3 linked regions of the Saccharomyces cerevisiae S288C genome follow. Changing the gene in region 1 together with any one later gene gives a genetic interaction. Each region holds a gene or a part of one and is shown in the gene's direction. Other genes may lie near its edges.

Evidence for each region. Genes that interact genetically often act in the same process or in processes that back each other up.
Region 2: mutations in ERV15 (region 1) and SDT1 together harm fitness less than expected from each alone (positive genetic interaction), as found in Saccharomyces cerevisiae (2 studies listed by BioGRID).
Region 3: mutations in ERV15 (region 1) and EDC1 together harm fitness more than expected from each alone (negative genetic interaction), as found in Saccharomyces cerevisiae (2 studies listed by BioGRID).

What each region holds. Positions count from the first base shown.
Region 1 is NC_001134.8:643,722-646,644, forward strand, and holds ERV15 (Erv15p), read left to right. Parts: upstream 1-1,828; coding exon 1,829-2,257; downstream 2,258-2,923. Other genes in the region: AME1 (Ame1p), read right to left, coding at 2,437-2,923.
Region 2 is NC_001139.9:77,515-80,424, reverse strand, and holds SDT1 (nucleotidase), read left to right. Parts: upstream 1-1,567; coding exon 1,568-2,410; downstream 2,411-2,910. Other genes in the region: Golgi transport complex subunit COG1, read left to right, coding at 60-1,313; VRG4 (GDP-mannose transporter), read right to left, coding at 2,518-2,910. UniProt on the Saccharomyces cerevisiae protein: Could be an enzyme that inactivates 6-azauracil by modifying it.
Region 3 is NC_001139.9:80,159-83,134, reverse strand, and holds EDC1 (Edc1p), read left to right. Parts: upstream 1-1,948; coding exon 1,949-2,476; downstream 2,477-2,976. Other genes in the region: ERMES complex subunit MDM34, read left to right, coding at 1-257; BOL2 (Bol2p), read right to left, coding at 399-761; NIF3 (uncharacterized protein), read left to right, coding at 843-1,709; Golgi transport complex subunit COG1, read left to right, coding at 2,770-2,976. UniProt on the Saccharomyces cerevisiae protein: mRNA-binding protein which stimulates mRNA decapping by DCP1 and DCP2. Involved in the regulation of expression of multiple genes involved in glycolysis and gluconeogenesis.

The sequences.
Region 1 (2,923 bases):
AGCTTCTCGTTTAACATTCCTTCTGCAATAGGCGCAATCACACTTAAACGTATACGAGTTGTACATTAATATACGATGTAAGCATTGAATTGTTACCATAGCAACTCATGTCACTATTAATTACTCTCGTTCCAACATAATATTATTATGGAGTAATATCTATTCCCTTTCGTGGATTCCAAGATTCTCGAGGTATATTTCCAGTATATTTTGTATACCTGATATTATAGCCTTTAGCAACAACGAAATCAACATTTATCTCAAATTTCACCTGTTTCTCATTTTTAAGCGCCTAGCCCATCTAATCATCTTAACTATTCATCAGGGAAAATTAATATACATTGTGCTCTTAATGTTTCGAAAAATAATCAAAATCAATAGAAATAGCGTTTTGCTACTAACAAAGCCCTTTGATCCAAAGTTGGCTTCTGAGAACTTAACATTTCAGTAGAACAAGCCTCAAGCTTAAATGAAGAATGGCAAAGTAAATGAGACCTCTCTCTCCATATTTTGCTCAGAGCCTGTTAAGGAAAACAACACCGCACATTAGTGTGAAAAACTTTCCCCGCAAGCTGTTGGAAGATGAATCATTTATTATCTTTTGACTGTTAGCTACATTACTAGCTGTTATCAATCTCTCAGACGATTATATGAATATTGAGATAGTTGTTGGGATTAACTTATTGTTAGAGGCTATAGCATCAGATATACAAAATAAAATAAAAAGTTCTCCTCCAAGATATAGTGTAATCGATATTTCGATGTAATGCCATCATTATTTCTTCTATTTTATGTATTCCTATTGTCCTCTAACATTGTATCTGATAATATTCTAGTAATAGGATTACCATCACTAAATGATAGTTAATTCTCATTCCAAAACCGACTCCTGTCAATATTGAGGACCCATTTATTCCAACGGTCCAAATCCCCAATATTCCCTGCTCGGCAAGAAGTTAGAAAACATATCTTTCGTGCTCTTGCAGGCTTGCTGTATTATCATAACCGAAGGATGACCAACTTTGATCACCCCAGGTGGCAAAAACATAATACATGGTGGTGGTGTCGTTGTAAAAATCATCTTCTTTGGGTGTGTATAGGATCCCATCCAACACACGTGTTAAAATGACATCAGGTATCAATGCTAATCCGTCGTCACTGACAATAAGCTGAGTTGACATCACCTGATGATGTGAAATAGTAGCAAGAGAACTAGGGTAAGGTTCATGCTGGTTGTTTTCCTATGATGACCAACCTTTGGAATTGGGTAATTCTAGGTGTAGCCTGCTAGCCATCAAACGAGACCTTTCAAAATCTTCAGTCATTACATTTTCTTCTGTAAATAGGGAAAAAAGCCTTTAGCTAGGATTGTTCGGCAATAGAAAGCCCTCCAGTTTAAACTTGACATAGAAAATCTTTAAGGTTAAATCAAACATAAGTTATTATCCGATATAGTGTAACGGCTATCACATCACGCTTTCACCGTGGAGACCGGGGTTCGACTCCCCGTATCGGAGTTATTTTTTGTTTCTATACCATTATTTTTCTTGAATGTTGCATTATGATAGTATAGTTTTGCTATACAAACTTCAATTCTCAAAACACAGTACGTCTAGCTCACTACTACTCTCTCTAATTCAAAATCGTTCACTTCTATCGAAAGCTGTGATAATTTGGAAATATTGTCGTGGGCCACGAATGATTTTTCAATTACATTGCTAAATACGAAGACATTAATACCTTTATTCATATAAGCACTTTCATTATCATTTTTTACTAAAGATAAAACTAACTGCAGGCACCAAGAAGTTCGAAGCCAAGAGTAAAGATGTCAGGAACCGGATTATCGCTATTCGTGACGGGTCTTATACTGAATTGTTTGAATTCCATTTGCCAGATATACTTTACTATATTATATGGTGATCTTGAAGCAGACTATATCAACTCAATCGAACTGTGTAAGAGGGTGAATAGGTTGAGTGTACCAGAGGCAATTCTACAAGCTTTCATTTCTGCATTGTTTCTTTTTAACGGGTACTGGTTCGTATTTCTCTTGAATGTCCCTGTTCTAGCATATAACGCAAGTAAAGTCTACAAGAAAACACATCTACTGGACGCCACGGATATTTTCAGAAAATTGGGTAGATGCAAAATTGAATGCTTTTTAAAATTGGGATTTTACCTTCTCATATTCTTTTTCTACTTCTACAGAATGGTCACAGCGTTACTTGAAAATGATGCAAATTTGATAAGCTAATAGCGACAACAGGAAAAAAAAAGAGAGATTTGTGCATATCTATGAAGTATGTCTACCACATAAAAATGACCTTATAACACAACTTCCTTAGTATGGAAGTAATACATATATACATATATACATATATACATACATATATATATATATATATATATATATACATCTTTTGAACCAATTCCCTATAGACTTGGTTGTAATTCGTTAGAAAGATTTTCATTAATTTTATTTATCTTTTTCAGAAGTCCGTTATATGGATCCATCAAGTCTACGAAATGTGCAATATCCAGAATATTTGAGTCATCCCGTATTGAATCGTCCTCGCTATCTTGGCTCATAATTTTGCGATCTCCCTCGTATTTGCCTAGCAAAGTAGAAGTCAAATCATTTAGCCTCTTATTTAGCTTCACTTTGTCGTTCAGTTTGGCTTGTTCATTTTGTAAGTCATGCCAGTCTTTACCGGCTTTCAACTCTTGAATTTCATTTCGTACCGATATTATCTGCTGGTTCAAATCTTCTTTTCGAGCAAGTACCTGCTTCAGTTGGTAGCAGAGCTCATTATTCGACACGTTGATATCTAATATGTCTTTCAAGTCTCTGGTCATTTGGTCTGATATCGTTTGAAAGAGTCGCAGATCTAATTTGTACAATAGTTTCCTAAATTGATCA
Region 2 (2,910 bases), on another chromosome or scaffold:
ACACATTCGTACAACAAATCTTGTGGTAGAAAACCTAAAAAAAACCAATACGATAGAAAATGGATGAAGTCTTACCATTGTTTCGCGATTCTCATATTCCACAGATTAAAGATTATCAATTGGAGTTACAGAACGATTTGACTAAAACCAATGAGGCCTTCCAAAAGAATTTGCTAAAGAACTATAACAAGATCTTAAGCTTGACCGATTCTGTTAATGACTTGTCGCTCAATTTGAAAAATGTTGATCAAGATTTTAAATCCCTGTGTTTCAATGATGAAAAATTTCAGTTGAATAAGTTAACTCCACTACCATACCAAACCACTACCCATATATCACCACCTCGTGACGAAGAAAAAGTCAGCATACCATCGCAAAACATTTTAGTAATTTCAAATTGGACCATCTCCATCAACAACTTCTGTAATCGTATAGTTACTTCCACTACTCCGTCGCGGATATTCGACGAGCTACTGTTGAATTTCCACGAATTATCTTTGATACCAGTTCCTTCCAAATTTGAAGCGCTTGTCAAGGACAAATGTTGTCGACTACAGAAGTTCTTGGTGGACTCTATGAAGACATTAAACTTAACTTTACTACAGTGGGTAAAACTATACAATTTACTAAACACGGAGTTTTCCTCGAAGTGGGACGATGATTTACTTTCTATATTCAATGAATCCCTATTCGAGACACTATTTAACGATAACGTTCAAGCGTTACTGATATCAAGTGCCAACAGCAAAGATCATCAATATCACTCCAATCAGCAATATAAGGACGCGATTGTTGTCGATTTTGTGAATTCGTCCACCTTTAGAGACCATCTCATTCGGAGAACCGTGAAAGAAATAAACACACATTTGGATACACTCTCTACTTTGAGAGCCAAGCTTAAGGAGCCTGAAACTCTTCATAAATTAGATATCTTCCATGATAATGATACGAACCTCAATGATGGCACTGTATCTCCACTTGATGATGATGCATTGAAACAATATATTGATACAGCGGTATTCTATTCAAAAGGTTTAACCAATGATACCACGTTGCAAATTTATCAAACGGTGCAGCCTACGATTGAAATCCTACAAAACTTAGAATTGTATAAATGCCCTCAAGAGACACTGACAGATTTGAGAAATAAATTGATTACTCAATTGCAAGAGTTTAAGACTCAGATCTCATCCCGCTTACCTTCACCACTGGAAAACTCAACGAGTGTTGTGGATGATTTTATAACTTCGTACAACAATCACAATCTCTTGCAATTAGTCATCGATCAAATTACTCAATTAAGGCAACAGTAATATAATAGCACGAGGGAGGGTACCCGCCTCGCAAACTTATTGATAATGATAATGGTATGGGCGTTGATATATACATATATATATATATATATATATATATATATATATACATAATATATATATGTTTATCTGTGTGTATCTATGTGGACTTCAATAAGTGATCGCCTTCTTGATATCATATTACTCCCCCATTTCACCTGAATTAATTTCGGAATACATGAGTAAGCTCTTGGACCGAATCATTACTAGGCTTCATGACTGTTGAATATACTGCATCCGATTTGGCAACCTATCAGAATGAGGTGAACGAACAAATTGCCAAGAATAAAGCACATCTTGAATCATTGACTCATCCAGGTTCGAAAGTGACATTTCCGATCGATCAAGATATTTCTGCTACACCTCAAAACCCGAACTTAAAAGTTTTCTTTTTTGATATCGACAACTGTCTCTATAAATCATCCACGAGAATTCACGATCTTATGCAACAATCTATACTGAGGTTCTTTCAAACACACTTGAAACTATCACCTGAAGATGCTCACGTTTTGAATAACTCTTACTACAAAGAGTATGGACTTGCCATAAGGGGACTTGTAATGTTCCACAAAGTGAACGCACTGGAATATAACCGGCTTGTGGATGATTCCTTACCACTACAAGATATCTTGAAACCTGATATACCATTAAGGAATATGCTGTTGAGATTGAGACAATCGGGAAAGATTGATAAATTGTGGCTTTTCACCAACGCTTATAAAAACCACGCAATACGTTGCCTGAGATTGTTGGGTATAGCGGATTTATTTGATGGATTGACATATTGTGACTACTCTAGGACAGATACGCTGGTCTGCAAACCACATGTTAAAGCATTTGAAAAAGCCATGAAGGAAAGCGGGTTGGCAAGATACGAGAATGCTTATTTTATAGATGACAGTGGGAAAAACATCGAGACAGGTATCAAATTGGGCATGAAAACATGTATTCATTTAGTTGAGAATGAAGTAAATGAAATTTTGGGGCAAACACCAGAAGGCGCTATTGTCATTAGTGATATATTGGAGTTACCACACGTTGTGTCCGACCTGTTCTAAGGTATATCAATTTTAAGTATAATTGTATATAAATCTACTTGCATTAGATGCCTCTATAAAATAAAATAAACCAAAAAAAAAAAATAAATTGCACCCCCCGTAAGTTCTCATTTACGTAAAGGTTGGGCTTGTTGCTTCTTTTGTTTGGCAACAGCATAAATAATACCTGATAGGAAACCAATAAAAATGGAGAGAATAGATAAGAAGTTTCTTGGAGCATCAAAGAAAATCAAACCAGACAAGGCAATTGGCAGCTTGTTCAAAGCCCCTACCATCGAATATGTAGTAGACGAAGTAACACGAACACACCAACCGGAACAGTAAGAAATACCGACGGATGCAACACCACTGATGATCATAGCAGTTAGCGAATCGTTAGAAAAGTTATTGGTCAAATTAACTGAAGACCAATCTTCCACACAGAAAGAAAACAGCAATAGAATAGGTAGAGCCAAAACATTGTTGTAAAACATAGTGTCGAAATCCTTGAAGTTAGTTAA
Region 3 (2,976 bases), on another chromosome or scaffold:
GTACTGCTATTGAAACAGTTACGTCCACACCGGTCCAAACACCGATACCCGAGCTTGAAGAACAATCTCCCCCATATTTGAAAACAACAGTATCGATAAGGGATAAATACGTTATACCAGAAAAAATATCGCTAAATTTGGACTCCAAGAAAGATACATCTAAAAAGAAACCGTTTTACTTCATAGGTTTGAACTCGCAAGAACCTTCAAATAACTGGAAATGGGGCATGGAGGATAGCCCCCCACCATATCATTAAATTAAGTTACATATCTAAGTACATAACTACACAAATACATACTCTCCGATGTAAATAACGTAAGAAAGCAAAATCGTCTATGCCAAAAAGATTCAATGCCGTCTCCTTTCGAAACTTAATAATAGAACAATATCATCCTTTTCATACCACAATCTTAGACCATTCCTCCTCAGTGTAGCACTTGCAGCTAAAGGCATGAATCTCCTGCAGCTCTTCTTTCACAGCCTTGTTCACTGCACGACTCCTCATTAGTTTGCTTTTACCTTGAAAGAAGTCGCTGACCACCACAATATCAAACGACTGACCACAACCGTACGAAAGATCCGTCACAATGATATGGTAAACTTGCGGTATGGCTGATTCTATCCTCTCGCGGAGTCCCTGTTCAGTAACGGGCATCTTATAGTGTCGTTGGCGCTTTGTTTCTCTCCACTGAGTTGTTAGGAAATGTGATTTTGCAAATTCGTCATTTATTTTCACCTTTTCAATTCTTTCACCTGTCATATATATGTATATATATAACACCGAAAAACTTATTCCAATACACAGTCGGAAGGAAACAGAACAAGAGTCCACCGAAACGCAATGAGCAGAGCTATTACTAGAGCACAATTGGACAAACTTGTGCGTAGCATTACCAAGTTCTACCCTCAAAAGTACGCAGACAAGAGCTGGGACAATACGGGTCTTCTCATCGATTGTTCCACTGCACAAGTCACCACTGCCGATGCAAACGCTAAAACAAAGGTCCTTTTGACTGTAGACCTCACGAAGTCAGTTGCTCAAGAAGCTGTGGATGCTAACTGCAACGTAATTGTTGCTTACCATCCTTTTATTTTCCCAAGCTGGAACAGATTAAGCCCACATACAAACCCACAACACGAGACAGCTATAAAGCTAATCCAGTACGGAATATCCGTATACTGCCCTCACACTGCCGTAGATGCCGCTCGTGGCGGTGTAAATGACTGGTTGGTTAGGGGTTTGAACAACGGAGAGAACGTCGCAAAGTCTTATGCCTTGGAAACTGTAAGTGGCGAAACTGACGACTTGATTGGCTACGGTAGATTCGTAGAATTCAATAAAGACATCTCTTTGGAGCAAATTGTCAAAAATGTCAAGCGTGTTTTACGGGTTCCCTATGTACAAGTAGCATCTCTTGCTGCTCCATCCGCATGGAATCAACTCAAAATCAAAAAAGTCGCTGTCTGTGCCGGGAGCGGTTCTGGCGTGTTTAAGCAACTAAAAGAGGACGTAGACCTTTACTATACGGGAGAAATGTCACATCATGAAGTACTGAAGTGGAAAGAAATGGGCAAGACCGTTATTGTTTGCAACCACTCAAATACTGAGCGTGGATTCCTTCAAGACGTTATGAAGGGCTTGTTGCAAGATGAGGGCCACGAAGTAGTCGTAAGCAAAATGGATTGCGATCCTTTGACTGTTGCATAGCTGCTAGTAATTATATGGCTATATAGGATATCACAAATACCATACGTACTACAGTTTTATCATCCGGCTGTTCGTGTAAAATGATGTTGTTGTATCGGATAGAGAAATACGGATAGAAAAGGTAAAAGTCTTCAAATAACAAGGACAATAACATACTCTGTATTGAAGACGAAGTACTCAGCAAAGCGTAACGTAATTACACTTAGCACACAAATATACTCACACAAATATTACAAGGCATGTCGACGGATACCATGTATTTCAACAGCTCCAGGCTGTTGCCATCGGCTGGCAGGAACAAGACAAATAATCTAATCAAACAAAAAACTAGAAATAATCGTGCGAGGGGAAATGCTGCTAAGAACGCCAATAATAACAACTATATCACAGATATACCACCTCCTCAAACTCTTCCTAACGGTCAGAAACCTAACTTCGGCCATTCTTCCAACAAGAAACCATCATTTAATCAAAAGAAGCACTCTCCACCTTCTTCCCCTTCCTCTACAACTACTTTAGGTAAAAAAAACAGACAGAATAATAAAGAAACGCCACGACAGAACAACAAAGATGATACTCGTTTACTGAGTCAGAACCTAAAGAATCTGCTTCTGAACCAGAAACAATCCCCGCATGGCTCTCAAGGGATAATACCAATGGGTTGTAATGGCAGTGCCAAAAAACTCAGTCACTCTTATGCAGGCTCCACTTTCGCCACTAATGGTCCAAGGGAGGCTAAAAACTTGCCCAAACCAAGTTTTTTATAATCACCCTTTAGAGAGACATTTTTGATTTTTTTTTTTTTTTTTTTTTTTTTTTTTTTAGAATAATGCATATTTTTATTTGATATATACCTATGTACCAATTATACGAATGCTTATGTCTGTTTTGGATCTGGTCATCCAAAGCAATTTCTCAGATGACAATTTTTTTTTCCTATTTTCTGTTACAGTTCATCATTATGCTGAAGAAAAATGAAACATGGCGGTGAATAATAAATAACACATTCGTACAACAAATCTTGTGGTAGAAAACCTAAAAAAAACCAATACGATAGAAAATGGATGAAGTCTTACCATTGTTTCGCGATTCTCATATTCCACAGATTAAAGATTATCAATTGGAGTTACAGAACGATTTGACTAAAACCAATGAGGCCTTCCAAAAGAATTTGCTAAAGAACTATAACAAGATCTTAAGCTTGACCGATTCTGTTAATGACTTGTCGCTCAATTTGAAAAATGTTGATCAAGATTTTAAATCCCTG